Ovis aries: one gene and its partners. The protein of the gene in region 2 interacts with the protein of the main gene of each other region in a pairwise test. Links are inferred from orthologs where the notes say so. Each region holds a gene or a part of one and is shown on either strand. Other genes may lie near its edges. The genes, in order: KLF3, EHMT2 and PLOD3.

Region 1 (10,905 bases), on a different chromosome or scaffold from region 2:
GGTGCAGTTCCAGGGCCCTCAGCAGATGCCTGCCATCCTCCGCACCTTCCTGGCTCCTCTCCCACACCCGCCTTTTCCTGTGCCTTCATATCTTTCCGGGATGGGGGAGAAGTTGAAATAAAATCCTGTTAAACATCATTACTATGAACTTCCTCTTTTTCAGAAAGGAAGCTGGTGGAGAGAAATGGCAGATGAGGAAGAGCCAGGAAAAATCTGTAGTTTTCTCAAGCTTCTCCTGCTGATTGATGTAAGTAATTAACAAGTTCTAATCTGTCCATTCGCTTCCCTAATGACTAATTACTTGATACATTACAAGCTTATGTAGTTGGTCTCTAACTGGGACAAAAGACTTCTTTTCCTTTTAAATGTGAATCTAAATTTCTTAAAATGTTATACAAGAACACAGGCGGGGGGCTGGGGTATGGAGGAAAGACTGGTGGAAAGGAAAATAAAGACTTAGTTCCTGAAATAAAACTCATTTATCTTGGTAAAAATATGTTAATAAATACATATCTTATCAACAACTTTTTCAGGCACCCAAAGAAGTGACTAGGAAGAGAATAAAAAGGTTCATTTTATCGAGTGACCTTACTTCTCAATTATTAGCAAAGAAAACTGTATTTTCTTCTATTTTTTTTAAAACTGTCAGTTTTGAGTATCACTTTACATTCCTACCCTGATGCTTAGAGGGACAATACCGAAGAATGAAGTTTAGCCAGTCTAGATACATGGAAAAGTGAGCATGAACTAGTGGAGGGTGGGGGTGGGGTAGGGAACAAGGACTTCAGTTATATAAATGTATAAGTAATGGAGAAAATAGATAAGTGAAGAGATTTATGGACAGTATTTTTTTTTTTAAATAAAAGTCCACTATTAAGATCCTTCAATAAAAAAAGTTTATCAGTTTACTTTAAAATTTCAACTTTAATGTCACTGACTGAAACTTTTCATCTTAAGAGAACTTTCGGAAATAAAGTGCTGAAGGAAAAATAGGAACAGTTAAATGTATCTTATGTGCTTCTGGGACACTGGGAGAGAATCCCAGATGAGTTCAGAAGTCTCTCCCAGTTATTAGATTTTAAAGGTTGGGAATCTAATAGTTTCTGGGTAGTAATTATGATCACTGCTTCAGTTACTCACTTTGTGAAAATGTCAGCCTCAAAAAAGGTACCCTAAAAGGCTGTGAACTTCAGCTCTAAATCCCAGCTCTACCACTGATGGTAGACCCCTGGCAAGGTAGTTACACTCTGTGCCTCAGTTTCCTCTCTATAAAATGGGTATATTAATAGGATCTCAGAACGCTGCTGTGAGTGACACACACAAAGCACTTAACACTTGGTCCAGATGAAAAATCTGCTCAACGGTAGCTGTTGCTATTTCAAGGTTCAGAAATCCACTTGTAAACTTCGTCTTTACAGTTGTCTAGTCTTGAGGAATTTTGGGGGGATGTCCTAACACCAGACCGTGAATCTCTACTCCAGGGTCCAGAGATGCTGGCAGCATCGGAGGGCAGTAATACTCTCGAGAGGGGTCAGCAGTCCATCTTGAGAGGGCCAGACATTGGTACAGGTTGAGGCTCAGGATCTTGGGATTTCATTCATCCTTGCTCTCTTCATGGCTTATTTTTAAGGAGGTTGTTTTGATATCTTTATAAGTAAGAAGTTAGAATATCTAGTAAATACCAGAGACCTGGTCATTGTTTTGAATTAAGCTGATCCCTCTGTTTTATTTTTCCACTGTTTATTCATGGCTGCACTGGGTCTTCACAGGCTTTCTCCAGGCACAGAATGAGGGTTGCTCTCTAGGTGTGGTACAAGAGCTTTCTCACTGAGGTGGCTTTTCTTATTGTGGAACCTGGGCTCTACGGTTTGTGGGCTCAGTAGTTATGGCCCACAGGCTTAGCTGCCATGAAGCATGTGGAATCTTCCTGGACCAGGGATCGAACCTGTGTCCCCTACATTGGCAGGCAGGTTCTTAACCACTGGACCATCGCGGAAGTCCAAGCTCATCCCTGTGAAGTTTGCTACAATTTCATGTACACAACTCAATGGGGAAATCTGATCTTCAAGATTTTGTTCTAAATACACTTTCATACATGTAAATAAAAAACAAAAGGAATCTGAGTGACTTTATGAATAATTCTAAAGCTACAACTTTATGATTAAGCAAAATGGATTTCAAAGCTGTAGTCCTCCCCTGAAAAGAAATGGCTTCCTAAGGCAAATATTGGCGCTGCCTCATTGAAATGGTACCAGGCATTTGGTTTCCAGTGATTCTTTCCTGGCTAGCTGGTTTCCTATGTGGGCTGCTACTGGGCATACTCCAAGACATTACTTAATCACATCTGTGAGAGAATTACTTGAAGAGTGCATGTTCCAGTTGTGGCTACTCTGTTCAATTTTCTGAGAGGCAAAATGCATTCTTCGATCAGCATTAGAAGAAGCACATTACCCATTAATCATTAAAAGCCATTTAACTTGAGATCATCAAAAGAACATTACTTTAAAAAAGAGATGCTTTCAGCAGCATTCGGAGCAAGAATATTTGAAGGCGTATTCCAATATTCTTCTTCTGAAATGTGTTACATTGTAAATTCATAATAACCTATACTTTGGAATAACCCCTTATAATCAATGGACCCCTCCCTTTGTGAGTAGATGGCTTTAGAGCATCTTTTTTATCATCTGTTTATGAACAATTACAAGTGCTAAGCCATGTTACCCGTTACCTTGCAGAGACATATGTCATTCTAAAAAAGAGGCAATTCAGCTGTGTCCATTTTGGTTTGCTGTTGTTGTTTAGTCACTAAATTGTGTCTGACTCTTTGTGACCCCATAAATTGTAGCCCACCAGGCTCCTCTGTCCATGGGATTTTCAGGCAAGAGGAGTGGGTTGCTATTTCCTCCTCCAGGGGATCTTCCTAACCCAGGGATCCAACCCATGTCTCCTATATTGCAGGTGGATTCTTAACCACTGAGCCACCAGGGAAGCCGCCCATTTTGGTTGGTCAGTTTTTCCTGTCACTCAAGTACAGAAGCAGATGCAACTGGCTAGATATGATCTAAACATGGCAGGAAGAGCGCACAGCTGGAAGGAGATCAGCCCAGGTCCCCTCTGCTGCTGTTAATGGTGTGATTACAGGAGACTCACCATGTCTTGGCTCATCAGTTCTCTATTTGCTCTGACTCCCACATGCTTGTTTTGGGAGAATGAAATAACTCCTTTGAAAACACTTGGAAAAGTTCCTTTTTTTCTTTTTCTTTTTTTTAAATTTTGTGGGAAAGGAGTGCTATGCAATTGTGAAGGGTAACAATGAAAAGACCATCAGAGGGTCTCCCTACTGGTGCAGCTGGGGCAGAAGATTCATTTTCTTCTTCTCATGTATCAGGGAGTGGATGAACTCTCCCCCCCTCCAAAAAAAAAAACCAAACTGAGTTGGTTCAAATGATAATTAACCCATGAGCTATTATGAATGCACCTACTTGGACTGAATGTAGATACAACCAGAATTTATTTGAAGTTCCAGAAAATAGCTGTTCTAAAACCAGATAATTCATATTCTGTTACAGAACTTGTCATGAAAGGGAGAGAAGAATGCAAAAGATAAAGTAGAAAGGGGGGCAGAAAAGCTGGAGAAAAAGTGATATGGGAAGGAAGTAATAGAAGGGAGTCTGAGGAGACAATAACTGTTGTACTTCCTCTGTACTAGGCAGCTGGTCCTTAAACTCAATGTTGAAAGGACTATAACATAAGAAAAAATAATTATAACCAATAATGTAAATAAAGAGAGAGCAGGGGCAAAAGACTAAGTGGCTAGGCCAAGGTCACACATATGGTGGAGAGTAGAGCTGGGATCAAAGATGTTGGGCCCAAAGACGATGTCTGTACCTACTGCAAGCTCAGCCCCCAGTGTAAACCTTGGGAGAAGTCAAGGATAGTGCAAACCACAATAATGATGTTATTTAGCCTGTGTGTGACACCCTCACATGACAGCAAGTTAAACCACTGTTCAGGTGCCTGGATACTGATGGATACCGTGTAAACTTTCTACTAGATGGCATTTCTAAAGCAGACCAAACATTCTAGGGCACACATAATGAAAAAGACTGGAGAAGCTTCTCTGAGCAACATCGTCTACTTTCTGTTGCCATCGGACTGGGTTTTGGAGAATCTTTCCCGGGCTTTGTGGTTGGCCTGAAAATTTTGATCAAAGCCATATCCCATCACAGAAACAGTGTGCTTTATGAGAACTGACAACGGGAAGGACCATGAGTGATCCCATAAAGTTTTCAGGATCCAACCTTAAGTGGGGTATCTAGAACACCAAATCCAATCCACATTGGGATAAAGATGATGGGAGAACTATATACACATAGTCTGGAAGGACAGAAAAAAAACAGGATAAAAATGATTTAAGGGGTAAAGTTGGCAAACTGTAGGGTGACCGATTTACTGAAAAGTGACACAAGGAGTTGAACAGAGCACATTGATTCTGGAGAGATTCCATCTGACCCAGGGGCTGCCCCAAACGACCAGGCGGTCCTAGGAATCCACACCACATCCCTCGCCGGAAGCTCGTGCTTCCATTCCAGTTCCGAGATGCACGCTGCTATGCAATTGCCGGGCAGACCTCAGTATACTTACTCTTGCAACAATGCTTGCGGGGGGGACACTGAGTTCATTAAAGGGGGTGACATTTCTTCGGGATAATAATCTGTCCTCTGTGGTTCGATCCCAGGTTCTATTTTAATTTTTTTCTGCAATATAGGCTTCTCATATGATTCAATTACAGGTACTAAAAAATAAAAATAGAGAAGTTACTCTATGTACACTTTACCAATGTCAGCCTTTAAAAGCTTATCCCACAGCTTCTAGCTACCACACTGATGTGTGAGTATCTACTTTTGGCAAAATGATAGCAGAAATGAACCTGGGGGTGAAATTCTTACTTTGTTACCAAACACTATGTAGGAAGTTGGACTTTTAAGACATAGCCCCCAGGGGACTTCTTCCTTATGACTTTTGGTTATCTCCTTTTACAACAACCTGCTGCCTCTGACCAATCAGTAAACAAGCTGGTTTTTAACAGCAATTAGCTATCACATGGTCTAAAGCAGCCATCTCCAATCTTTGTGGCACCAGGGACTGGTTCTGTGGAAGACAGTTTTTCCATGGACTGGGGTGGGGGGTGTTGGGTGTGGGTGAATCAAGCCCATTACATTTATCACATACTTTATTTCTATTATTATGTCAGCTCCACCTCAGATCATCAGGCATTATATCCTGGAGGCTGGGGAGCCCTGGACTAAAAATATTTCTTAGGAGCCTTTTGTACCTAGAACCATGCTGGCATTCAATAAAGCAAAATGTAAAGTCAAGATTCTTGTTATCCCGAAGTTGACAAGTACATAGTGAAACTAATCGTTTCATGGCATTAAACAGACAGCCTGATTCTTGGGAGCTCTTCCAGGATCAACACTTAGAAAAAGGAAATGCCTTAGGCAGCCTCTCAGTCGAATATTTCCTTTGCAGAGTACAGCAGCTCTTGGCCCCTTGCTTCCTCTGCTCCCTTAATCAGACTCCCTGGTAGTGAAGACCTACAAGTCCGGATTCCTGGCGGGGGCGGTAGCAGTGTGGGTGAGCTGCAGAACAGAAAGGTACCTTGCATGCTACTACTGGAATTTTCCATCTCCTCCGACAAGGAGACCATGAGCGGCTGCTGGAGGTGGCTGGTGTACATGAAGGGGACAGGCTGCACGACGACGGGCTGGATGACGGGCAGAATGCCCGGGCTCCGGATGCCGTGGCGGGACAGGGCTGCGGCCATCACCGGCGGCATGGACAGCGGCACGCTGAAGGGCTGCACACCGGGCGGTGGCGGCGAGTACTTCTTCCCGGGCGGGCTGGAGGAGGACAGGCTAAGCCCAGGCGAGGCTCGCCTATGCGAGGGCTGGAACTTCAGGGCGGACGGAGAGTTCCCGGCGGAGGGCGGCGAGCTCCGCTTGTTGACTGTGAGGTCCACCGGCTCCATCTGCATCCCGTGAGACAGGCCTTCCGGCGTCTGGAAGAACTTATCCGACAATGGCGTGGAGTAGATGACGCCGTACTTGTTGGGCTTCATTGACTCCATGTAATTAGACGGGTATGACTATTAGAAAACACAGAAACGTATCAATGGACAGGTGTGTTTGCTTGAAACACGAAATAAGATGAAAATACACAACAAGGCACATTCAGTTACATGGACTTTCATAAATGGTTTGGATTTAGATATATGCTTGACACACACACACACAAATACCATGAAAGAGTTGATCTAATAAATGTAGGCACTAAAGTTAACATGGTAACTATGTCACAGACAAAAAAAATCTCAAGTTTAATTCTACAGTGATAGCCATATCCAATGTTAAGATTGATGATGACGCCTGGAAAAATTCTAAAACAGGTTATAAAAGGCTTATGGGCCTTATCATTGGGAGTTGGGATTCACCAAGAACCAGCCAAGCCAAGGAACCTTATTGCTTTTCTGATGGGGTTTCTTAATTGGTAGGAAATACCCTCCTTGGCTTTAGCGTGCTCCACCTGAGCATAAAGACACAGAACATTTCCCATATGCTTGTGGATAACGTGGACAAACAGAGCCACGTGGTAGTGCCTTGGGATGCTCTCCAGCCACTGACCAATCCATGCCAAGGTGACCACGAATCCTGGCTTTAGTGCTAAATGTACGACATCTGAGGAAATGCCTCAGTATCATGCAACTCAGGATGGCTAGTCACCGCACACACTTATATACAGAAGGCCACCCACACAAAGGTGATTATGTTCTTGGCCCCGACTTGTTCAACGATTTATTTACAATTTGAGACACTGCAGAAGATGACTTAATCTCCAAATCCGAGGATGACACAGAACTATAAGAGCAAATAAGGACTTAAATAAGGACACGTGATGTTGGAAGGGACTTGCATACAAGCTGAGGCTTTGCCTTCTCACCTTTCCTCCTTGCTACTCCCTCATCAAGAGACTGGGGGATAACCTAAGAAGATACTGGAGGTGAGATAATTAGTCCCCTCCCAAATCTAAGATCTGTTCATAACTGACTTAATTTGTCTTCAAATACATTCCTTTCTTACAATATCAAGATAATGTAACTCTCATTTACCAGGTTGAAATCTAAATCAATTGTAATTGCCCACTATGGGTACTGTCCTTGGCCATGGAATTCATTAAAATTACTTCTATTCCTTAAGAAACATTTAAAGTCTGTTGTAGAATGCCTAAAAAAAAATTAAACTCAACATAAACCCTTTACTTGCATGCATTTTAGGGGAACATGTTTTCAGTGGTAACATGTCAAGTCTGCCTGCAGAGGATTACTTATATTTGAATGCTTTATAGTAAGGGTGAAAAATAACATACTGTGCCTCTCTCCTGGCTCTAAAATTCAATGCATTTGTGATTCTGAAGCAACACTAGCTCACAATGCAACTGAGAAGACCCACTAATGGGAACTTATAATTAAACCGCTTAAATGCACTATTAATTTCTGAACCTCCCTGGCCCCTTCAGTGGCCAGTAATATGAGTTATTAATAACTGTGAGACAGCAGTGGTTTTGACTGGGATTAGTACTGAGATCACACCCTTTCTTCTCTGGGCCTCATCGGGTGAATCTCCACCTGGCTATGCATCCGACTCATCCGTGCTGCTTTAAAATCCCATTCCTGCACTTTCAAAATAACTTTATTATGTTCAAAAGCAGTTCTATAAAAGAAGGCAAGAAAAATTACTATATAAATATTAGACATGCAAGTGTCATGAGGATATGTCAAAACCTGTCAAGGAGGTACTGGATACTCATCTTCTAGGAGGCTATGACGTTAAGATTAGAATTGGACTCAATGAGATGCCTATGAGATGAACTTAACACACACTGGGGTCCCGGAGTCTTTTCTTCCTGCTGTATACAACAGGTGTTTACTTCAGTGGGCTTTGATTGTATCAGGTATTCTTCAGACTTTACTAAGCACACAGATTCACCTGGGAATCTTGTTAAAATGCAGATTCTGAGTTACTGGGGAATGACTCAAGGTGCCATATATTGGCCTTAGACTAGCAGGGCTCTAGATGAGATATAGAATAAAAACACTAATTTTTATTACTAACATTTGGTAAATTATTTAAATGCAGTTTAAACGTGGGGAGGGAGAATTTTCACTAATAATACTGCTTAAAAACAAGAATATGAGGATATAAAATCAGGAAACACAAAACAAATTGTTGTTTTTAAAAACAGTTTTGAATTATGTATCAAACATCAAATGAAGACTACTTCTACCGTTCTTTAGAATAAGACACACATAGGTGCAACACAAGGTGAGAGGCTCAAAATATACAGTAATATTAATATGCAATAGATTTAAATTGAAATATTAAAATAGGCAAAAGCAAGAGGCACAAGGTTTGTGAACAGAAATTACACATTATGTACAATGAGGGCTTCAGGAAGTAATTAACTACAGGAGTAAAAAAGATTTCTCCTAGTTCTAAAGTTTAGCCAGCTTGATATAATTTTCTAAAGGGCAAAAGTTCTGGTACAAGAAACAAAAACTCCAGGAAATGGGAGGCAGTGTTCATTGTTTCTACTCACAGAAATGTAGCTTCTCCCTTATTTTCAGCCCTAGTCTTCAAAGACACCCCTATGACCTAGATTTTAATACCAAGTTATTGGCCACTACATAGGAAGCAAGAGGAGGACAAACGTTTCTTGCTGTCATTGCTGGATTTTTCTATCTGTGGGGTGAGTTTAAGGAAAGCAGGAATTTAGAACCTGGGGGATTTGCAAACTTAATAACCGTCTCAGGTTTCTCAAGCCATAAAGAAACAGCCACACAGAGCTGAATTTTATAAATTATGCACATTTGCACAGTTTTGCTGAGAGTCTTCCCTCCTGTGAATGCCTCCTGTCCCCTGGACATGTGGTCTTTGGAAGGCTCCAGGGCTAAAAGCAGGGGGGCTGTTTTGTGTGCAGGGGTACACAACTAAGTCCAGTGTTAACTATTTCTGGTCTGACTGCTTCGCCTGAGGGTGAAGAAATGTGGTTCTTCAAACTGTCTCACTAGCAAATTTCACAGCAATGTTTACCAGAACCTTCTATGAGGCATGTTCACTTTAATCATTTGGGTGGAGCACATAAGCCATGCAATCAGCTTGCAACAGTCTGGTTCTCCGCAGCAGAAGGACTGACACAGGGCTTGCCTGGGGTGTGTGCCTTGGGTGGATACACACTGGTAATAGTTGCTTCCTCTCTGTTCCAGAGCATTCCTGTGTTCTAATGAAGCAATGCAAATAAGTGTGCCTGCACCAGCAAAATCCACATCAGCTACAAATAGTGATGAAGCAGAAAGAGGTCCTCTGGCCCCTGCTGGGCATCCATGGCCCTACCGACTCAAGCAGAGGTTTCCTCCACTCCTCACCCCCACTAAGGGCAGCAAGGGGGTTACTTTGCCAAAAGGTCTGCTATTAAGAAGGGTTCTTTCCCTCTGTGGTAACATGCATTCAAGTGTTCACACCTCCGTGCCCTGGGTTACTTACTTGTCGTGGGTTATTTAAGTGTCAGTGGAGTGGGAGATGATGGTCCAGCCCAAGTGCTCAGAGAACACTGGGTGAATGGATGGTGTGAATCAACACGCTCTCTGAGCAAGTTTTTACCACTGACCAGGCTCAGCATAATGATTTTTTGATTCTCAAAAACAAAAAAAAAAAATTTTTTTAAGTATGATGAGGAAAAAGGCACAGGGTTTAGATAATTTTCCAATGCTATCACTTCCTATGAAAGTGAGAATTAATAGTTTCTCATTTTATTGGAAATAGTTTTGGTGAAGTTTTCCATTACAAGATGGTTTAAGTGGATGGAGTGACTGCATGAAACGTGGGTGAGTCTCTGTTTCACTATTCATTAATATGAAAAAAAAAAATGCGACCGTCCGTGACAGGGCGATGGCAAGTCAAAGGAATCTTCATACCAAGGGTGGAGTTCCAAGTGCAGGAAGGCGCGGTGCATTTATAAACAAGCTCTTTGGAAACAGCAAATGTCATGCCCCTCTGTGCAAACAAAAGTAGAAAGCTCTCTTTCTACCAGGCTCAGAAAAGTCATGAAAAGTTTCTGTTAGAACCCGGCAGAGGGACTACCGATTTTAAGTACTTCTTAATCTGTAAGGAGTCTGTTAGATGATAATTTTCATTAAAGAAAAAAATACACTTTCTTCAGAAGTAATCTTCCTTTAGGAACAGAAGAATATGAAGGGATACTTTAAAAATTTTTATTTTCTCATTTCCTGAATTAAATTCTAGTTTTCAACCTCTTTGGCAGTACTGGTAAAAACAACTCCTTTACATGTTCATTTTATATACACCTGCCATTTCATGTTTTACATATAAGTATCTCCAATTTTATAAATAAGAAAAAAAATTGGAGACTCAGGGAGCTTCTGATAGCTTTGCCAGCAACACATTGACAGTAAGTAGCAGAGATCTACAGCACAGAATGGGGGGGGTGGGTGGTACTCTGCTCCCCCTTCTTGCAAATCTTAATAGGATCGACAATCCAAAGTCTAGTCTGCCTCAAGGCACAAGGTTTAGTGAACAGTATGAAGGTTTATACTTCAGTAAGAGAAAAATGACATTTCCTCACTTTCTCTAAATTATAGCAAAATACCAACTAGGCAGATTATTTTTACTCTTCTTTTCTTTTAGGGAAAAGGGGTGAGAGAGGGGAGTACATCAGAGTCAAATATTTTTATTCATATGTGGAATTGAAGCAAAAACCAATCTTACATGTTACTGCTTCATGTTTAGAACACTGACCTGAATAAACAAAGACCTCAACCTTTTAGGTCAA
Region 2 (10,905 bases):
ATCTGGGAAGGGGTGTGGCCCCTTCTCCTAGGTGCCCTGGACTCTGTCCCTCCGTGGTTCTGGGACATGATGTCAATGATTGACCCAAAACCTCTCCAGGAAGTCTGTGGGGCGTCCCCACTGCTCCTTCCCCTACCTCCCTTCTGACCAAGCCTTACCTTGGGCAGGTCCCTCCCTTGGGGTTCCCTCCTGGCCCGACCAGGGCAGGCCCCTGAACCCCAGGGACTCTCTGCAGGCAGGCCCCCAGTCCTCAGTGCACACAGGGATCCCAGAAGCTGGTCCCCATTTCCTCTCCCTGCAGATTCCCCACCCCCACCCCCACACTAATCCCTGGGACCCCTGGGGCAGGCTCCCAGCCTTTGTTCCTCACAGACGCTCTGGAGACGAGCCACCTCCTTCCTCCTCAGGCCTTACCTTTCACAGGAACCCCAGCAGGCCGCTGCCTCTTTCCTCTGGGCTCCCTCCTAACAGGGATCCTGGAGGCAGGCCCCCAGCCCCCTCTGCTGCCCCAACTCCTTACAGGGGCCCTCAGCAGAACCCACTGCCCCTGCCATTCCTCACAGTCCCTGGCACGCAGACTCCAACACCTTTCCCCTCCTGGAGACTCAAGAGTCCTGGCTGAAACTCCCCCTCTTCTCGGGGACCCCAGCTGTTCCTCCCCACAGCAGCACAGAGCCTGGCTCACTCCTCCAGCCCCTGAACTCCTTCCCCTGCTCAGGACACTGACCTTGATTCCTTCAGGCTTCACTTCCAAGGGCCATGCTCTGAGGGGGCCCCGGAATTCAGGCGTGACACATTGCCCCCTGCTCCAAGGGACTCCAGCCTCCCTTCTCATGGAGATCACAGCTTCACTCCTCAAAGGCTCCCAGCAATGGTCCCCAGTCCCTGAACCCCATACTCCTCCAAGAACCCTGACGCTATCTCCTTTCTTCCATCAGCTGTTTCCTGGGTCCTCCCCTCGGGGACCACGACTGCCCTCAGCTCCTCTCCTTAGGGTAACCCAGCCACCATTTCCAGAGCAGGCCTCCCCTCCCTGACCGGTCTCCGGGCCCCTAGCCCAGCCTCACTGCCCCCAGCCCTCCGCCTCACCGTAGGCCTCCTCGTCCTGGTCCTGTTTTCCCCCCATGGCTCAGTCTCCCGGAGTGATTGGAGCCCAGGAGACCTGGCGGCTCACCTGCCACCAGCCCCGCCCTCTGCACACGTCACAGCCCCTCCCCTGCCTGTGGTCCCCGACACACTCGAGTTCCTTCTGGACTCAGCTGAGCGCTGGAAGCTGGAGTGCGGGAAGGAAAGCCTGGGATGTGGGTCAGGTCAGGGCTCATGGTCCGTGGCCTGAGGAACTCACACACTCTAAGAAAATCCTTTAGAATTCTGTAAACTACTTCCAACTGTAATACAGTCACACCCACGCCCTCCTACCGGAAGTGTGGAGGTAAGACCTACCCTAGACTAGACTCTGCCCCACAGTAATTCCCCCCATAACCTTCCCCTTCGCCTGGAGGGCTATCCACACCAGCCACACCTGCCCAGCCCCCTTCCCATCCCCTTTCTGCCCCTTGGACCCACATTCCCTCAGGCTGTGTGTGCTTTTCCGTCAACAATTGTCCAGTTTATTATAAACCCAACATTTATTGAGAACAAAGGAAACCAATTAGCACAGAGGGTCAATTTCATCAAACTTCAGTTGAGGGTGGGGAACGGGGGTTGGGGGGAGACTTGCGGGGGGAGGGGTGGCCAGCCCTGAAGTCACCCTCCCAGGAAAGAACCAGCTCTGGGAGACAGGGGCTGTCAGACCTCCAGGGCCTGGCTGGGAGCTGGCTGTGAATGTGTGAAGAGGTAAGGGAGAGAGGAGACGGTAAAAGCCCCCAGGCGTGGGCTGTGGGCAAGCGGCAGAAGTAGCTACGGAGCTGGTGGCCGTCCAGGGGTGGGACAGCAGCTGTGGTCCGATCTCAGGGGTTGACGGGGGGCAGGGAGCTGAGCTCAGGCAGCAGCTCAGGGTGTGGGTCCAGGCGGGCCAGGCGGCTCTGCTCCAGGGCAATGGCCTCAGCCGAGTGCTTGCACTTCTCAGAGCCACACTGGCAGGTGAAGTACTTGCTTTTGATGTCCCAGAAGCGGTCACCATAGTCAAACCTGTCAGAGGAGCACAAGAGATTTGTGGAGTCCAGACCCACTCCAGAGCACCCACTCCCATCTTCAGAGGGGCTCTAAGCCCTCCTAGGTTCAAATGCCCTGGCAATGCCGGGAGCTTGTTAGAAGTGAAGGCTCTCACGACCCACCCCAAACCTACTAACTCAAACTCCGTGAGGTCCAGGACTGTCTACAGTGACTTCAGAGAGGCTCTGCTCTAATCTATGCCTGGAAACCAGGCACTTGCCAGCCTTCTGCTTTTGGTCTGGGGCTTGCTACATCTCCCACACCCCTGGCTGAGCCTCAGGAGGCCTCACCCCAGCTCCTCCCCGGCCCGGATGTCTCGGGAACTGAAGAAGGCGATGCGTGGAAATCTCAGGTCCTGGTGCAGCATGAAGACCCGGACGGGGATGATGTTGGGGTCACACAAGTGGTTGATGAACCGGCTGATGTTGCCGTAGTAACGGGCATCGATGCAGTACACCTCTCCATCCTGAGGGGGGAGCATCACTCATCACATCTACCACCACCCTGCTGGCTGGCCAACCTCCTTGCCCCACTGATCACCTGGTCCCTCCTCCCCAGGTTTCCATCTGCTGCTTGAGAGGAGGAGGGCAAGGGGGTCTCCTGCCCACCTTATTGTCCAGGTCGAAGAGATAAGAATCGTCCTCTCTCACATCAGCCTCGGCATCAGAGATCAGTTCTCCGACATACCTGTTGGGCAGGAAGTGGTGGTTCTGGAGGTGAGCAGGGAGTTACTGGAAGTAGGCTCCAGGCCCTGCCTCTCCCCACAGCCTGGGAGTCCTCTTCCACCGTTTGTCAGCTGCCCTAGTCACTGTCTGTGAATCTCACAGATCCACATGGCTGGGGTGGGTGACCCAAGGATAGGAGACATGACCTGGCAGGGAGGGGGTGGGAGGTCCCCATCCAGAAGGGGGATCAGGAAGAGGAGCCTGGGGACGCAGACATGTGAGAGTACACATAGGACAAACTCTGGGCAGTTGGGGTCCCCCCGGGACAGCTAGACCAACAGGCAGGACCGACAGTGTGGGGCAGGGGTGAGAAGTGTGGGGCCATTGGGGTAGCAGCGGTGGGGAAGCTAAAGGGAAGGGTCAAGCTGCACCAGAGGATGATTCGGGGCAGCAGGGAAATGCCGAACCTCTGGGGTGAAGGGATGAGCATCTTGGCAGTGGGCCTGGGTGGGGAATCTGTTCAGGTGTGGACGTGGGGAGGATGAGGAAATCACCCAGCAGGTGGGGCAAGGTCGGGCTGAGGACAGGAGAGAGGTGAGAACTGCAGGAAGGGATGCAGCCCCAGGAGCTCTGAAGAGCTGGGGAGGAAGCACTCACGTTTGGAAAACAGAGGGAGAGGAGCTGGTGAAGAGGAAGAAAGGATGAGTTGCGGGTAAGGGTAGTGTCATGGGAGCCAGAGCTAAGGGGGTGGCAGATGCCAGGAGAATGCAGACTGAGACACAGGGGTCGGGGTGTGTGGACTGACGAGAGGAAGCAGAGGGAGAGGACAAAGGCAGATCTGGGCAGGGATGAGCAGGGAGTGGATGGGGGTGAAACAGACCTAGCAGGAAGAGGCCGCTTATCTGAGTCAAACTGAGAGATGACATGATGGAGGAAAAATGAATGGTTTCTTAAATAGCCACATAGGGCTGAATGACTTTTTTTTTTTAAGCCAAAGAAGATTAAGTTTGAAGACCATGAGGTAAAAGCTGGGCGACATGGAGAAGTTATAGATGCTGGGAAGAGAAAGAACTGGCAGACGGACAGGCCCGAGGCCCTTGAGGAGGTGGACAGAAGGGTAGTTGTTATCACCTCCATTTTGCAGACAAGAAGGAGGAGGCTCAAAGTGGTTGTGAACTTGGCCGAGGACTCCCAGTGGCAGAATGGGGCTTAAACCCTGGTCTGTTAAAACTGGGGCTTTCCCCAGTTGAGAAGGGCAGGGGAGAGGGAGTGTGAGGCTCAGAAAGACACTGATGGGGAGGGAAAGACGCAGGCCCTGTGGCCTGGGCAGAGTGGAGGCTCGGGGATGGCGGTCAGAGGAGGCTGGCCAGGTGGACCCATTAGGGAGGAGAGCAGAGAGGGATGCCTGGGAGTCAGCCATGGCCCCACACCCAGCCCTTTGCCCCCAAGAGCCAGAGTACCCCTCCCCCTCAACCACTCACTCGCAAATGAAGGTACCCTGGGGAATGGTCTGCAGGGCACGGACCCCCCAACCCATCTTGGCTGTTCGGTAGAGCTGCAGTCGCACCCTGGTGGTGGGAGAGAGGATGGTATTGAGGGGGGTGACGTGGAAGCTTCCCAAAGGAGAGAAGGGAGAAAGGGGGATGAGGAGGGCCGAGGGGCAGGGACTCACTTGATGCCGCTCTGGACGACTCTGTTCTTGCAGTTTCTCCAGCAGGAGCATGCCTGGTTACACTCAAAAATCAGCGGGGGCTCGATCTTATTAAATTCCTGGAGCAGCCGCCCATCCTGGGGTCGAGGGAGAGGAGGACAGTGGTTTTTGTGTGATGCTCCCCTCAGCTGCCCAGGACTCCCAAGACTTCACCGAAAAATCCACCACTGACCCCACCCCAGACTCAGGGAGGCCACGTATACTCTGAGTTCATCCAACAGGAAACCCACAACCATCGCCCTTGATCTGCGTATACCACGTCTCTGGCTTGGCAACGTCCTAGGAGTCCTGGGTCTCGCCCTGCTCTCTCTGCTACTTTCCCCACAGGACAGAAGGCAAGGGACGAGGCCCCACAGGGTTGGTGTCAGAGGCCAGCTCCGGAGGAGTGGATGGGCAGATGGCCAGGGCACGCACCTTGTCATACCAACAGCGGATGCTGAGCTGGCCACACAGGCAGTTGGAGCTGGAGCAGTCATCCACACACGTGCAGTGCTGGGGCGGGAGGTAGGGTCAGCTCAGCCCTCAGAATCGGCCCAGACACCTCGGCTTACCCCCTCAAGCCCCCCCAACTGCTGTCCTTTCTGTAGGGTTCACACTGTAAGGCAGTGGTGGTAATGGTCCCAGGATGCGGGGGAATCAAGATGCTGCTGACAGGGGTATCTCTAGGGCCACCTTGAGCCCATGCGACACCTTCATGTGTCCTAGAAAAAGGTCCCCTTCCCCAGGTGGATACAAGCCCACACCAGAGGTCCCTTTCAGCCCCACCACCTTGGCCAGGCGCCCTTGTTGGCCCACAACCTGCCCGGCTCCACTTGGTGGCTCTGGGTGCCCCTGTGGGAGTTGGTCCCAGGGCCCCACACTCACCTGTAGGTGGGTGATGTTGCGGTCAATGTTCATGGTGGACGTCTCGCAGTTCTCTGAGATGTACTTGTAATCCTCGGGGCAGGGCTCCCCGTCCACACCATTGACACAAGGGATGGGGACGTTCTCATAGCCCCGAGCCACGTCCCTGGCAGGAGGGGAGATGGAGCTGGGTGGCTAGAGCATGGGGTGAGGGCTTCCCTAGGAGCAAGGAGAGGGCTGGGGGAGGGGAGAGGGTGTTCTGGGGGTACCAGGTCAAAGGCAGGACACTTTGTTAAAAATCTAAATTTCAGATCAGATAATCAGGAAATAACTTTTTTAGTACAGCGCTTCCCTGGTGACTCAGACAGTAAAGAATCCACCTGCAATGCGGGAGACCTGGGTTCGAACCCTGGGTTGGCAAGATCTCCTGGAGGAGGGCATGGCAACCCAGTCCAGTATTCTTGCCTGGAGAATCCCCTGGACAGAGGAGCCTGGCAGGCTATAGTTCACGAAGTCACAAAGTTGGACAGGACTGAGTGACTAACACTTTCACTTTCATGTCCCAAATATATTGCTCAGAACACTCTTAAACATTAAAAAAGTATGCGTTGCTCACCTGAAATTCTAATTTAGCCAGATGTCTACCTTTATTTGCTGTATCTGCCAACCCTAGCTGTGTATGTTGCAGGGGGGACGGAGGTGGTTCTGGGGATTCCGAGGCTCCAAGGGGCCTGGGGAGGGGGCTCTGTGTGCGTAGAGAGCCCAGGCTCACCGGCAAATTATCTTCTCCGTGCGGATGGCCCGATTCCCCACCCCGAGCCGGAGCTTGCGGTTGAGCTGGAGGGCAAACCACACGTCGGAGCGCTCGGGGGTCAGGTCCCACGCCGTGTCCCCTTCCTTGTTCCGCAGCTCAGGGTTCGCCCCACGTGACAGGAACAACCTGGGAGGGGACAGGGAACCTGTGGGGCACCTGGCCGTGAGAGGTGGCAGAGGCGTGTGTGGGGGTGTGTGTGCGGGGGCGGGGGGCTCACAGCACGCAGTCGTGGTAGCTCTCCCGGGCCGCAATGTGCAGGGGTGTGTCCCCATGGTAATTGACAGCATGGAGGTCACAGCGGGCGTTCAGGAGGACCTCGGCGATGGCAGCGCTGCCGGTGAAGGAGGCCCAGTGCAGGCAGATGTTCTCCTCCTGTGGAGGCGGAAGGGGGTGAGGCTTGAGCCCAGCCGGCAGCTAGCTCAGGTGCAGGGCAGGACTGAGCCCGCCTCCGGCATCCCCACCAACCCTTCACTCACGTTGTCGGTGAGAGTGACATCCGCGCCCCGTGTCAGAAGCATGCGGATCACTTCTATGTGCTTATGCTCTGCAGCCCAGATGATGGGGGTCCACCCGCCGCTGTCCTGGGGGCGGGGAGGGAAGGGCCCTGCTCACACAGAGTCGCGGCTCCACCACCCATAGGCAGTGGCGCCCCGGGGCAGGTATTCAAGCTCTCTGGGTCTCAGTGTCTTCATCTATAAACTGGGACTAATAGTGTCTACTGCTCATGACTGCAAAGTAATTTTTCTCTTTCTAAAAAATATTTCCTAGATCTACCCACTCCCAAGAGAAGCAGGGACCCCAAGAGCAATAACCACCTTCAGGTACACAGATTGTTGTAGTCTCCAAAAAAATATTTCCCACTTAAAGGGATCAGAGTTTCTTAGAAAGTGGTAGAGTCTGAGTCTGGCGCAGGACAGCTGCTGACAAGGATGCTCTCAAAGGCTACTGGATCAGTTCAAAGCCACAGAAGCCTGTGGCAAGGGGCTTCTTCTGGACAAAGGATGGAACGGCTCAAAGATCAAGGAGAACACAGACTAAAACACCTCCAACAGGTGAAAAACTGAGTTAATACTGGCCAGTTCCAGACATTAAGGCAGCAAGTGAAAACTGGTAAAGAAAAACAAAAAGAACCAGAAAAGAATGAAGAGAAATACAAGTGAAGCAGAGAAAAGAGATAGGAACAGGCTGGAACAGTGTGACATGCAGGGAAAGGGTCAGAGGTCAGATGAGGGAGAAAGGGGACCAGGCTGCTGACCTGGGCGTTGACGTCCACCTGTCCTGTGCTCAGCAACAGGCTGACCATCTCCAGGTTCCCAATTTTGGCGGCGTGGTGGAGGCAGGTGGAGCCGTCTTCCTCCTGGGGGAGATGCGGGCAGATGAGTCCTCAGGCTGGCACCTCAGGCCCGGCCCCTGAGCCCGGCCTGGGCCTGTGTGGCCACGCACCTTGCTGTAGACGCAGCCCCCGCGCTGCACCATGTAGCGAGCCACCTCCAGATGGTTGTTCACCACGGCCTCCATCAGCGGCGTCCGCTGCTGCTTGTCCACGGCATTGATGTTGGCTCCAGCCTGCATGGAAGGTCTGTTGGCACCAGGGAGGGGCTGAGGTGGGGTGGGGTGGGGTGCTGTGGTCCCAGGTGGGGCCCACGCTGACCTGTAGCAGCACATGGCAGATCTCCACAGAGCCCTTCTGGGCAGCCGCGTGCAGGGGTGTGCGCTTGCTCTGCTGGTCACTCTGGAAGTTGGGGTCCAAGTTGTCCACTGTGGGGAGAGCCCACCACACCGGGAGAGGGAGGGACATGCGGTGAGCAAGCGTGGGGGTGGGTGGCATCTCATTCAGGAAGGCTTCTCAGGACCCCAGGCCTGGTCAGGGGTGCCTCCTGGGCCTCCCCTGTGCTCACATCCACCGTGGCACAGCCTCACGAGAGTAGACGTTAAGAGCACCAGCTCTGCCCAAGTTCAAATGGCCCCAGCCCCTCAGTACCCTGTGCACTGGGCAAGCCAATTCACCGCTCTGAGTCTCCACTGGGAAGATACAAGTGAGTGAAAGTGTATAAGCTCTCAGAATAGGGCCCAGGGCCTCTGCGTTTATCGCCACCACAGTCCCCATCATCACGGGCGACCTGTGTGTCTGCGTCCCCTACCAGCCTCGTCCTTCAGGGCAAAGACCATGTCCCTCGCGGCTGCCCTCCTGGCTCCGAGCCCAGGGACGGGCACACAAGCAGCGCGCAGGTAGGGTCTGCTGAATGAGCGAGGGCGACACTCACACAGCATCAGGATCACCTTCTGCAGCTCCCCTTGCTTTACGGACAGGTACAACTGCCGGGGGTGGAACCGGAGCTTCTTCCGCCTGCCGGGGAGAGGGGCCCTCAGATTCAAGTACCAGTCCCAAGGGCCACGGATCCACGCTCCCAGCCCCAGTCCCAGCGGCTGCGCCCACGCGTGCAACCCCTACTCACCTCTCCGACTCCTGGATGACCAGGGCCTTCTCCAGGGCCTCCCGGCCTGGCCCTGGTGGCAGCCCTACAGCTGAGAGGCAGCCCCCGTTGGGCAGGGCTAGGGAGGGCCCTGAGCTGTCGATGGTGTCGGCCAGAGGGTCACAGGGTGGACGCCGAGGCTCCCCCTGCCCCCGCATCCGGGCACTGTGGAAGAAGGTGCGAATGTCTAGGGCAGATGGGGACCACGCAGGGAAGAGACAGAAGGCAAGGGCGAAGCCAGTACCTGGGCTGGGAAGTGTCCGCTCTCCCGGGGGCATCCTGGGCCAGGGGTGGGGGAGCGGGGGCCGCAGTGCCAGCTGGTGGGGTCACCCCATCCCCCCGGGGGATGGTCACCTCCTGGGCCTCAGATGCGTCCTCCCCACAGTGGGGACAGAAGACCATCCCATTTAGCTGGGACACACAGGCCTTGTGGAAGCGGTGGGCCACACGGAAGTCAGGGTGACACTCCAGGAAGGTGCCCTAGGGGCAAGGAAACAACGCAGTCAGGCTCCGGGAGCCCCTGCCCCTGTGGGGCATGCCGCCTGGCTGCCCTGCTGGTCACTCACCGCCGTACAGAAGTAGCCACAGCCGGGGCAGCAGTGATGTTTGACCATGCGTGCGCGGTGGGTCTCACAGAGCACCATCAGGGCCACGCGGCTGGACGGTCTCATGGTCTCCCGCTTGAGGATGGCAGCGTTGCAGCCGGACAGCTGTGGGCGGCGAGGCCGGGTGACAAGAGGTGAGGCTGGGCTCCGGGGCCGGCTGCCCTGGCATCTCGCCGGCCAGCGCCCCGGGCCCACCTCTCCGTCCACGCTCTCCGTGGCCATGCACTTGTGTCCCGCTCTCTCGCTGATGCGGTCTATCTTGGGGGCCTCCATGCGGCAGCTGCAGAGGGGCAGCTCCTCAAACCCGCGTTCTGTCTCCAGCGAAGATGTGTCATTGGACACCCCTTGGATAGAGGGAGCAGGGAGTTGAGGGCGGCCCAGCCCCTCACCCACCAGGACCCCTCATGGGGCCTCTCACCCCCACCCTGACTTTCCCTCCATGCTCCAGAACCCCCAAAGTCAGGTCATGGACACCCCAGCTCCAGCGGGGTCCCCCTCCTCCCCATCCCCTCTGGCCCTGAGGGCACCCCTAGTGGCTCCCTATCCCGGCAATCGGCAATTGGCAATTACCAGCGTGGTTGGGAGAGAGGGTCCCCTCGCTGGGCAGCTCCAGGGACCCCAGAGGGACCTCCATGTACTCACTGGGGCCTGAGGAGCCCACACCATTCACTCCTGACACAGAGACAGAGAGAGTGAGAGTGCGAGCTCACAGGTGCCTGGACGCGGGGGTGCATGCGGAGCGTGGGTGTGCATGCACGCTTTCTGGGGGCCGGGAGGGGGCTGGAGGAGGGGACCCCAAAGCAGAGGGGCCTCCTCACCTCGTGGCTCCTTGGCCCTCGGAGGCTCTCGTTTCCGCCGTTTCCGTGATGGCTTCACCCACGGGCTGTCCTTCCGCCATTTCTTCTTGGCTTTGCGGCGGCCACTGGAACCACTCTGGGCAGGAGGAGGAGCATTAGGGTGGCGGGTGGCCCCCAGTCCGTAACCCCCTCCTTGGAGGACTCAGACCTCCGGTCCTGCAGTCTCCACTCCTCCGGGGCCGCCGGCCTCCCATCCTACCCTGTCAGACTGATTGCCGGACTCTTCATCTTCCTCCTCTTCTTCCTCCTCCTCCTCCTCCTCTTCTTCTTCCTCCTCTTCCTCCTCCTCTTCTTCCTCTTCCTCACTCAGTTGTTCAGCCAGAGCTTCAACCTCAGACTGGAAGAGAGGTAAAGCTGTGGCCCCCACCCCAGGCCACAGCTCGCTCTTGGGGAGAACTTGGGAGAGAGGCAGAGTAGGACACATCCCCCTGGAACTCAGAGAAGGAGGTGTGATCAAGAAAACCATAAATCCCCAAGGATGGTTCCCTGGTGAAGATGACTGTGGACAGGAGAGGAAGGAAAGGCTGGGTACAAAGACGGGCTATGGCGTGTCATACAGCAATGAAAAACACAGTGCTATGGTGATATGCAAAAATGTGATGATCTTGCAACATAATAGTAAGCAGGGAAAAAAAAAAAGTCGTTGTTCCAGATAACAAATGTATAGTATGAGATTCTATGAAGTTCATAAACACGTGAGACTGAAAACACTACACGAAAAGCTAATCAGAAATGCCATAATGAAATCAGGGTGATATCGTCTGAATCCACTGATCTTAACT
Region 3 (10,126 bases), on a different chromosome or scaffold from region 2:
GGGCGATGAGCCCACCTGGCCACCTGAGACCCTCCCTGGCATTCTGGGTCTTCCCCACAGACCCTGGGCCTGGGAGAGGAGTGGCGAGGCGGTGATGTCGCCAGAACGGTCGGTGGAGGACAGAAAGTCAGGTGGCTCAAGAAGGAAATGGAGAAATATGCAGAGAGGGAAGATATGGTCATCATGTTTGTGGACAGGTAAAGGGGAGGGGGCGGACAGAAGGGGAGAGGATAGGGAGATTCCTAGTGGCCGTCCTCCTCATCGCCCTCTGCCTCCCTCAGCTATGATGTGGTTCTGGCTGGCGGCCCCTCGGAGCTGCTGAAGAAGTTCATCCAGAGTGGCAGCCGCCTGCTCTTCTCCGCAGAGAGCTTCTGCTGGCCTGAGTGGGGCTTAGCAGAGCAGTACCCTGAGGTGGGCACAGGGAAGCGCTTCCTCAACTCTGGTGGTGAGTGGCAGAGGGTCCAGCAGTGGTGGGGAATGGAGTGTCCCAGGTGCTTGAGGGCGGGCGAGGGAGTGGGGACCGGCCCTGGGACACTGGGGAGTCTGGGAGTCAGCGCATCCTCTCCCCCTGCCAGGATTCATCGGCTTCGCCCCCACCATCCACCAAATCGTCCGCCAGTGGAAGTACAAAGATGACGATGACGATCAGCTCTTCTACACTCGGCTCTACCTGGACCCAGGACTGAGGGTAGGGAGAGGCCGAGAAGGGCCCCCATCCCCGCAGCTCTGGGGGGTGGCAGGCCCTAAGGAAAGGAGTCAAGAGGCTTTCAGAAAGACACAGAGAGGAAAGAGTGGGAAGAGATGTCTCAGCTCCTCTTTAATTCACTGCCCCTACCTCATCCCATCCAGGAGAAACTCGGCCTTAGTCTGGATCATAAATCGCGGATATTTCAGAACCTCAACGGGGCTTTAGGTGAGGAGACAGCAATGAGAAAAGGGACGATGAGAGAGGCTGTTAGGGATCCTGAATGTGGGCGGGGCTCCTGGTAGATCAGGGGTGAACTTCAGCTCACCTCTGTGTTAACTTCAGCAAAAGTCTGAATGGCCCACAGAATAAGGTGCACTCTGCTACCAGGAATAGCAGCAGCCCCTGTTGTACACGTCCATTGCTACGTGCCAGGCTCTGGGTCAGGGTTTTCCTTCTTGAATTTCATTGAACATAACAATCCTATGAAAGGCGGTCTGTGATTACCCACTGGTTACATATGGGGAAACCACCTCCCTGCGGGGCCAGAGACTTCCCCGGGGGGCACAGGTAGTAAGTGATGGGGCTCCCCAGGTGGCAGCAGCCTGGCCAGTGCCCTCAGAGAGAGACGTTATCCCATCCCTGCCCCATGGACCACGGTCCTTCATCCTCTAGAACACCTGGGTACCCCCACCACCACCACCTCCACTGTATTTAGAAGCACCTGCTGATTGGCAGTTTCTAGAGTAAGGGAGTCTAAAGCCTGGACTTTCTTCCCCAGATGAGGTGGTTTTAAAGTTTGGTCGGAATCGAGTGCGTATCCGGAATGTGGCCTACGACACGCTTCCTGTTGTAGTCCATGGGAACGGTCCCACGAAGGTGCTCCAATCGCTTCTCCCCTCAGCCCAGCCCCTGCCCCAGTCAGTCCTGATCCCACAGCCCCCCAGTTTCCTCCAGGCCTTCCGAGCCGTGAGACCTCCCCGGCCCCGGAAGCGCAGGAGCTGGAAGAGGTTCTCTGTGCCCACGCTCCCCCTGCCCTTCTCCGGTCCCTGCCCCCACCTCCCTCACCCCTGGCCCCACCTCAGCTTCTCACCGCCTCTCCCAACAGCTCCAGCTGAATTACCTGGGAAACTACGTCCCCAACGGCTGGACTCCTGAAGGAGGCTGTGGCTTCTGTAACCAGGACCGGAGGCCACTCCCGGGGGGGCAGGTGAGGAGGGGGTGCCAGGGTGGGTGGGAGAGTGCTCTGAAGCAGAGGGTACCAGGAGGGTGCTGGGCAGTAGGGGTGGAGGCAAAGCCCCTGGAGATCCCCCCGCCTCCCCACCCTCCACTAAACTTGGCAGGGTGCGGAGGACAAACTGGGTAGGGGAGCTGGGCTTTCCTCTGAGACCTGTCACATTGTTGAATCTTCCAGCCTCCCCCCCGGGTACTTCTGGCTGTGTTTGTGGAACAACCTACCCCGTTCCTGCCCCGCTTCCTCCAGCGGCTGCTGCTCCTGGACTACCCCCCCGACAGGGTCACGCTCTTCCTGCACAACAACGTGAGACACCCCGACTGCCAGCCTCTCCCTCCCAAGGGACCTCCCCACCCCTGCTGCCCAGATCAGACTTCTCCCCACAGCCCAGACTCCTTCCTGTAGCCTTTCCTCCTGCAGGAAGTGTTCCTCCCGCCCCGTCCTGTCCCTTAGATGCCACCTTTCTGCCCTCCCGGCGTCCCCACTCTAGTCTCTTCTCCCCGCACCTCCAGGAGGTGTACCACGAGCCCCACATCGATGACTCCTGGCCCCAGCTCCAGGACCACTTCTCTGCTGTGAAGCTGGTGGGGCCCGAGGAAGCCCTGACCCCAGGAGAGGCCAGGGACATGGCCATGTGAGTGAGCCTCGGGCGGGGCGCCTGCACCGTTCCCTCCCTTCCCCTGCTCCCCACGGTCTTTTTTTCCTCCCTCCTGACTTCCAGCTGGTCAGCTTCCTTCTACTCCCTTTCCCTCCTCTCTCTTCCACGGGTTGCGGGTCAGGGGAGTTCCACCCCCTACCCAGCCCCCGCCCCCCCCCCCACCTGCTCCTGTTCATCTGTGTTTTGGTCTGTTCCCTCCAGGGACATCTGCCGGCAGGACCCCAAGTGTGAATTCTACTTCAGCCTGGACGCTGACACCGTCATCACCAACCCGCAGACCCTGCGCATCCTCATTGAAGCAAACAGGTCTCTCTCACCGGGCTTGGCCAGAGGGCCCCCAGATTAGTCCCCAGGGAACCTCACCTCCCGCTCTGGCCATGGGGCTTGCCTCCTCCCTGCCCTCATCTGCGCTTGTCCACAGGAAGGTCATAGCGCCTATGCTGTCTCGCCATGGGAAGCTGTGGTCTAACTTCTGGGGGGCCCTGAGCCCCGACGAGTACTACGCGCGCTCGGAGGACTACGTGGAGCTGGTGCAGAGGAAGCGAGTGTGAGTCTTGCAGCCTCCCCCAACCCAGGAGCCCTCCCAGACCCCTCCATCCTGCCCCAAAGGCCCGAACTCGGGGGCCCCATGTGGCCACCACGAAGGCGTGCTGGGTTGTGGGGTAGCTAAGGACTGATGGTGGAGCCGGGTGTGAGAGGGTTGTGACCAGCAGGGCTTCCCTGGGGAAGCAAGAGGGACCTCGCAGCTCTCAGCTGCCGAGGGAAGGGGCTCCAGGGGTGAACTGGGCAGGACGGTGGGGGGGGGCAGGGGGCCGCCCGCAGGGGGCACCCACCTAGCTGACCCCTGTGTGGGCCTCCAGGGGCGTGTGGAACGTGCCCTACATATCCCAGGCCTACGTGATCCGTGGGGAGACCCTGAGGATGGAGCTACCCCAGCGGGAGGTGTTCTCGGGCAGCGACACCGACCCAGACATGGCCTTCTGTAAGAGCCTTCGGGACAAGGTGAGGGGGCCTGGGGCTCCTGGTGGGGGCGCTGGGGGGCAGCACGCTGGCTCCCCATCGCCCTCCTTACACCCTCTGCCCACTGCCAGGGCATCTTCCTCCACCTCAGCAATCAGCATGAATTTGGCCGCCTCCTGGCCACCTCCCGGTATGACACGGACCACCTGCACCCTGACCTCTGGCAGATCTTTGACAACCCCCTGGTGAGTCGGCAGCCCCTGGCTCAGATGGTTCGGGCCTTCCCTGAAGGGGAATGCCACGCCCCGGCCCCATCACACGCGCGTGCGCACTGGGCAGGGTCGCCTGCCGCCTGGGCAGGGGTCCTCCCAGGTGGGAGCAAGTGGTGTGAAGAGGGCAAAGGTCAAGGAGCACCCCCCCACTCTCCCCTAGGACTGGAAGGAGCAGTATATTCACGAGAACTACAGTCGGGCCCTGGAAGGGGAGGGGCTCGTGGAACAGGTGAGCCCCGCTCAGGACCCCGGCCCAAGGGGATGGCCGCTGCCCCTGGGGCCCACCACCTGGATGAGGGGTTCTCCCAGGGTCCTTGCCCAGGTGCCTGGGGGTTTTCTGCTCAGGCAAGACAAAGGCAAGGGCTGAGTTGATAGGCATGCAGCCCCCAGCCCAACATTCATCCCAGTGGTCCTCCCTTGTCCGTTGGGTGTGTTGGTGTATGGGTGAAATGACATTTTTTAAAACGAGGTTGAAAACCACTGTCCCAGAACCCAGGGCTCCAGCAACCGTGCTGTCTGTGCCGAGTTCTGAGCACTGCTCTCACCTTCTCTGGCCGCATCGGTCCCCTTCCTGACTCCCCCGACCAGCCCATCCCCACGCTCAGCTGCCCGTCCCTCCACGTTCTCTCCTGTCCTGGCTTACCTTTCTGCTCCCTGCTTTCTGTCTCCTCCCACTGGCTGCCTGTCCCCTTCTGGAGCATCACCCAGCCCTGTTTTCTTCTTCCCCTGCCCCGTCCTGACTCAGCCCTGCCCAGACGTGTACTGGTTTCCTCTCCTGTCTGAGCAAATGTGCGATGAGCTGGTGGAGGAAATGGAACACTACGGCCAGTGGTCAGGAGGCCGGCATGAGGTGAGGGGCCTGGACCGCGGAGGAGGGGGCCCCCAGGAGGAGGGAGGGGGCATTTCCCTGATTGAGGGAAAATGGAATCTGGAGAGTGGGAACAGAGAGGGGGTCCCCGAGCAGGAAAAGGCAGACAGGGGGCACCTCTGTATTCTTTCATTCCACCGTGCATTCAAGAAATACTCCCTGGGCAGGTCCTTAGACACCAGCCCCTGACCTGGACGTGCAGGTGGAGCTCTGCCCTCCACAGCCCCACCTGCCGTCAGTAGCAGCAGGGAGCTAGCTTCTGAAGTCTGTGATGGACAGCCTCAGTGCTGCGGGAGTCACAGGTGGGAAACTTGACCCAGATGCGGGGGGACCGAGGGCTTCACAGAAGAGGTGACATCTTCGCTGAGACTTAGAGGAAGGAGGTGTGAGTCAGCTAAGACGTGGCGGAGACTTCCAGAAGGAGGGAGCGCAGACTTCCAAGGCCTGGGAGCAAGAGGAGGAGAAGTTGGCACCACTGCGTCAGCTCTGTACCCACAGGACTCTAGGCTGGCGGGAGGCTACGAGAACGTGCCCACTGTGGACATCCACATGAAACAGGTGGGCTACGAGGACCAGTGGCTACAGCTCCTGAGGACGTATGTGGGACCCATGACCGAGAGCCTGTTCCCCGGCTACCACACCAAGGTGGGCCACTGCACGCCACCCCTGCTCCCTCCTCCGCCTTCCCACACCTGTGCTGGCTGGACGGCTCCACACAATGCCTTTTGGCCTGTGAAACATTTAAATAGGCCCCATAGAGTGAGATCCGGGCTCCCCTGGTGGCTCAGATGGTAAAGAAGCCGCTTGTGATGCAGGAGACCTGGGTGGATCCCTGGGTCGGGTGGATCCCTGGGTCGGGAAGATCCCCTGGAGGCGAGCACGGCAGCCCACTCCAGTGTTCTTGTCTGGAGAATCCCATGGACAGAGGAGCCTGGCAGGCTGCAGTCCATGGGGTCGCAAAGAGTCAAACACACAGAGTGAGACCTTGCAGGAGGGAAGCTCTGGGGGAGCAGCCCCCAGGGAGCAGTGAGAACCCTCCCGGCCATCCCCCCAGCCTCTCCTCCCCTGTGCCCGCAGACCCGGGCGGTGATGAACTTCGTGGTCCGCTACCGACCGGATGAGCAGCCCTCTCTGCGGCCGCATCACGACTCATCCACCTTCACCCTCAATGTCGCCCTCAACCACAAGGGCCTGGATTATGAGGTGAGTCCCTACCCTCCACTCAGGGTTCCCCCGGGCCCCTCCACACACACAGACACACACGCACTCCCCTCCCCCAGGCCCTGTGTCCAGCCCCCTCACAGGCACGGTCACCTCCCTGCCCCTTGTCTGCCCTCGTCACATCTCCCAGTGACCTCTGGGGTCATATTCTGGACCCCTTCTGGGCTGGCTACCCCCTGTGTCCTGTGTCCCCCATCTGCCGATGCTCACCCCTCTTGTCCCCTCCCTCCCTGATGCCCAGTTTGGCCTCTCTCGCCTCGGGGCAGCTCACCACCCAGTCCCCACGTCTGCGCACTCTCCAGCCCCTTCCCCTCTCGTCTCTCCAGGGAGGTGGATGCCGCTTCCTGCGCTACGACTGTGTGATCTCGTCCCCCAGGAAGGGCTGGGGGCTCCTGCACCCGGGCCGTCTCACCCACTACCATGAGGGGCTGCCCACCACTCGGGGCACCCGCTACATCATGGTGTCCTTTGTCGACCCCTGACACTCAGCCACTCTGCCCAGCCTTCCGTGCCATCGTGCCTTCCCGCGCCCTGCCTCCTGGGGCGGGGTGGGTGTGGACTCCTCGCCTCCTGGGTATATGGGGTCTGTGTGCCTGGGACTGAATGTGTCGCCTCGCTGCCCACCACACGGCCCTCAGGAAGCTCAGGGAGCCCCCTGTCCTGTTCCCCGGTCCCCAAGGGCTCATGGGGACAGGACCTCTGGGGGTTCGCTACATGATAAATTATTGTTTCTCAGTCTCCCTCTCAATAAAGGAGGGTTTGTAATTCTTGAGCCCATTTATTGTTTCATTACCTGTGGACCCCTTGTCCATCCCACCACCCAGGGCAGAGGGGACACCGAGGGTGACCCCAAAGGAGAACTGAAAAGGAGAAATGACAGAAACGTGATATTAGAGCAGAGTGGGAATCTAGAAGCTTCCTTGTCATTCCAGAGCTCGGGAGGGGTGTGTTGGAGGCCAGACCCAGAGAAGGACTTCCCCTGTCAGGATGAGATGAGAGGCCCCCACTCCCGCACAGCCCCCAAACTGTCGTCCCCTATTCTCTCCTCACCTGATGGCATCTTCTCCCATGCAGAAAGGATGAGAGAGGCACAGCCCTGAGCTAGGGTCCAGGGATAGTGCTGGGACACGCATTGTAGGAGGGAAGACAGGGTGGAAACTTATTGAGAGCGCTTGGACCTCAGCTTTTAGTCACATGGTATCAGGAGAGGGGAATCTGGAGGGTGAACCCAAGAAAGCTTCCTGGAAGAAGGGGAAGGGAAGCAGCCTTGAAAAAAAAAAAAAGACCTCCTAGAGCTGGTTTTGCCTCTAGTCTCAAGCATCAAAAGCTTGCAGAGACCCCTGGAGGTACCCTGAGGACAGCAGAGCAGGCCCCTTTAGCCTGGTCCTCCCCAGCCTTACACCAGCTGCCTTCCTGTGTTGATCTCCCAATGTTCCCTGGCGGACGCCTTTTAAAAATCAAGCACCTGTCCTAGGACATTTCCAGCTTCTAACAGTCCACTTGCATCCACAGCTAAATTGTCCTTCCTTCCTCCTACCCAGATTCCCAGGAAAACTTCATGCATGAAACCATCCTTCCATCCTTCCTGGACCCCTGGGTGGGTCACCTTCCCACGTGGACTGAGCGTCTCTCTGGCTAGACTCTAAAGTTCATCTCACCCAGGCCCCCACCACCCTCATCACTTGCCCTGTGATGCGAGTGGGCTGAGCAGGGATAGGAGGAAATATCCCTCTTAACAGAAGGTCCCTGGTCAGTGAAGCTGCATAGGTGTGAGGCCAAGGACAGGGGCAGAAAGGGTGTGTCAGCCTAAGCCTATCCTGTCTCCACCCTTCATTCACAGAGCGTCTCCCATGCGCTGGGCACCCATCTTGACGGCTGCAGTGATGAGCACAATTTTTCTGTTGCTCACGGTGTGTGGGAGACTTTGATCAGAAAATTGCCATGATGGGAGACTTGCCTGGTGGTCCAGTGGTTAAGACTTTGCCTTCCAATGCAGTGGGTGTGGCTTTGATCCCGGACTGGGGAGCTAGGATCCCACATGCCTTATGGTCAAAAAAGCAGAATGTAAACAATAAAAGCAACATTGTAACAAATTCAATGAGGACCGTAAAAATGGTCCACGTTAAAAATCATGGTGATGGAGAGAAAGTATTCTGTGCCAGGAGAGAATGTGATGCGTGACAGAGGCTTCTGACAGTTGCGTGTCAGACTTCCGTAAAAGAAGTGACATTTAACGTGGCTCAGGACTTCCCTGGTGGTCCAGTAGTTAAGAATCCACCTTACAATGCAGGGGATGCTGGTTCGATCCCTGGTCGGAGAACTAAGATCCCACATGCCACAGAGAAACTAAGCCCATGCAGCTCAACCCCTGGCTCCTCTGGACGGGGAACTCTTGTGCCAGAACTATAGAGTCTGTGTGCTGGAATGAAAGGTCCTGCTTAACACAGCCAAATGAATAAATTAAAAGATAAAGAAGTGACATTCAAAAAAAAAAAAAAAAAGACATGTCCTACCAGTGAGGAGGGTCAAGATGTAGGGGTGGGGAAATCAGCATCATCATAAAATACTGAGTTTAAGATGGGCTCAAGGATGTTTGTCCAAGATGGGAAATAGCGCCAACATGTTGTAGGAACTAGAAACGAGAAGTGACCTTTAGGGACTTCCTTGGCCAGTCAGTGGCTACGACTCCCTCTCCCCAGTGCAGGGGGTCAGGGTTCAATCCCTGGTTGGGGACCTAAGATCTCACAGGCTGCACTGTGTGGCCAAGAATTTTTTAAAAGAAAAGTAATCTTTAAAAATTGTATCAAAATGTTTTAAAAAGATTTTTAAAGTGACATTCTAGGAATTCCTTGTAGGTCCAGTGGTTAGGACTGCCCTCTTATGGCCAAGGGCCCAGATTCAATCCCTGGTCACAAGGCAAGGCGCAGACAAAAAAAATAATTAATTTAAAAAGGTGTCAGTCCCTGACCTGGAAAAAGTGGTTGCTCTGCAGCCTCTAGCCATGTTGAACAGGGCCATAGTCACAGTGAGGACTGGCCCGGCCGGCATGGATGGAGTGCTCACAGCCCAGGGGGCTCGCACTTGCAGGGGCTCCCCAACCCTTAGCCTTTCCCATAAAACCCTTCCCTCCAGAGGTCTCCCCACAGAGGCCTAAGTTGCTCCTCAGGGAGTAAATCCTCCTGCAGGTCCTCTAACCAACAGGGGCCAGGCCTGGGTGACAAATGGGGAGTCCTGCTGTGGAGGGTACACACACACACGGCAACTTCCACTGGCCCAGGACGCTGCCAGTGTGCTCATCACAGGGAGCCAGTCCTGACCTCCACAAAGTCCAAACACCTTCCTCACCGCCAGACTCCAAGCCATGTCCCTGGTCTCCCCTTTCGGCCCTATTGATCCCAACCCTGTGAACCCAAAGAGCTGGTTAACCCTCCCTTTCCAGAGCTCATGATGGTCCACTGTGCAGGTCAGCAGAGGGAGCAGAAAAGAGGGCAGAGCCCAGGTCAGGGGTCAGAGCCAGGGGTTGGGCCAGAAGACAGAAAGCTTCAGAGCCGCAGTGGCTCCTGTGTGACTCCCCTCTACAGAAGGCCAGCCGCCTCCACCGGCCTCCAGGTGAGTGCCCTCCTGCGATGGATCGTCTCCGTTTTGGAGCTTGGTGAGTCCCTGAAGCCCTAAGGACCCCTGGGTCTGGCTCTCTGTTTCCCGATGCCAAGGTGGGAGGGAGGCGAGGCTGGGATCTCTTGCCAGGGCTGGGGGGGTTCCTTCAAGAGATGAGAAAGATGTAGGTTGGACAGATGTACCTGAAACGATGGAACAGGGAAGGGGGTTAAGGGGAGAGCTTGGACTTAAACCTCTGGAGTCAGAGTCCTCACACCCCTTCCCATCACCTCCAGCCCAGGAGTGCATGACTGCCTTATTCCTTGTACTCCTGAGCCAGGCTTGGATCCTAGAATTCACTACCTGGATGGGCTCTATGGAGACAGAAATACACCTTGGGCAGGAGGCCGTGGCTGTGCCTGGGTCCCCAACTGGGCCACGTGGAGACATTTCTGGGACCACCTCCCCATCTCGCTGAGGCACTGTGGAGCTCTGTGCTGGGTGGGAGCTGGGCTTCAGGGTAGACCCTGGTCCCAGGGTAGACCTCTGGGGCCGTCACCCCCAAAGTCCAAACTTAGAAGCCCCAAACTGGTGTGCACCCTGTGTCCGCAGCTGGAGGCACCACAGTGTTGGG

The links.
Region 1: the proteins of EHMT2 (region 2) and KLF3 interact in binary tests that used the Homo sapiens proteins (3 or more experiments, as listed by UniProt). The two-hybrid records come from large-scale screens. The link is inferred for Ovis aries from reciprocal best matches to the Homo sapiens genes EHMT2 and KLF3.
Region 3: the proteins of EHMT2 (region 2) and PLOD3 interact in binary tests that used the Homo sapiens proteins (3 or more experiments, as listed by UniProt). The two-hybrid records come from large-scale screens. The link is inferred for Ovis aries from reciprocal best matches to the Homo sapiens genes EHMT2 and PLOD3.

The regions. Positions count from the first base shown.
Region 1 is NC_056059.1:58,663,555-58,674,459, reverse strand, and holds part of KLF3 (Krueppel-like factor 3), read right to left. Parts: exon of another isoform or gene 9,600-10,905; intron 6,149-9,599; coding exon 5,662-6,148; intron 4,796-5,661; coding exon 4,645-4,795; intron 1-4,644. UniProt on the Homo sapiens protein: Binds to the CACCC box of erythroid cell-expressed genes. May play a role in hematopoiesis.
Region 2 is NC_056073.1:26,542,482-26,553,386, reverse strand, and holds the end of EHMT2 (histone-lysine N-methyltransferase EHMT2), read right to left. Parts: intron 10,461-10,905; coding exon 10,323-10,460; intron 10,200-10,322; coding exon 10,085-10,199; intron 9,939-10,084; coding exon 9,837-9,938; intron 9,611-9,836; coding exon 9,462-9,610; intron 9,372-9,461; coding exon 9,228-9,371; intron 9,142-9,227; coding exon 8,906-9,141; intron 8,827-8,905; coding exon 8,644-8,826; intron 8,535-8,643; coding exon 8,452-8,534; intron 7,946-8,451; coding exon 7,839-7,945; intron 7,754-7,838; coding exon 7,631-7,753; intron 7,545-7,630; coding exon 7,443-7,544; intron 6,769-7,442; coding exon 6,664-6,768; intron 6,560-6,663; coding exon 6,405-6,559; intron 6,314-6,404; coding exon 6,146-6,313; intron 5,540-6,145; coding exon 5,395-5,539; intron 5,023-5,394; coding exon 4,945-5,022; intron 4,608-4,944; coding exon 4,492-4,607; intron 4,388-4,491; coding exon 4,301-4,387; intron 2,842-4,300; coding exon 2,763-2,841; intron 2,621-2,762; coding exon 2,445-2,620; and 4 more. Other genes in the region: SLC44A4 (choline transporter-like protein 4), read right to left, coding at 1,090-1,126. UniProt on the Homo sapiens protein: Histone methyltransferase that specifically mono- and dimethylates 'Lys-9' of histone H3 (H3K9me1 and H3K9me2, respectively) in euchromatin.
Region 3 is NC_056077.1:35,917,935-35,928,060, forward strand, and holds the end of PLOD3 (multifunctional procollagen lysine hydroxylase and glycosyltransferase LH3), read left to right. Parts: intron 1-60; coding exon 61-197; intron 198-281; coding exon 282-445; intron 446-575; coding exon 576-688; intron 689-849; coding exon 850-913; intron 914-1,466; coding exon 1,467-1,564; intron 1,565-1,793; coding exon 1,794-1,895; intron 1,896-2,099; coding exon 2,100-2,225; intron 2,226-2,431; coding exon 2,432-2,553; intron 2,554-2,778; coding exon 2,779-2,883; intron 2,884-2,998; coding exon 2,999-3,124; intron 3,125-3,437; coding exon 3,438-3,579; intron 3,580-3,668; coding exon 3,669-3,782; intron 3,783-3,969; coding exon 3,970-4,038; intron 4,039-4,554; coding exon 4,555-4,659; intron 4,660-5,175; coding exon 5,176-5,322; intron 5,323-5,754; coding exon 5,755-5,880; intron 5,881-6,224; coding exon 6,225-6,380; 3' UTR 6,381-6,670; downstream 6,671-10,126. UniProt on the Homo sapiens protein: Multifunctional enzyme that catalyzes a series of essential post-translational modifications on Lys residues in procollagen. Plays a redundant role in catalyzing the formation of hydroxylysine residues in -Xaa-Lys-Gly- sequences in collagens.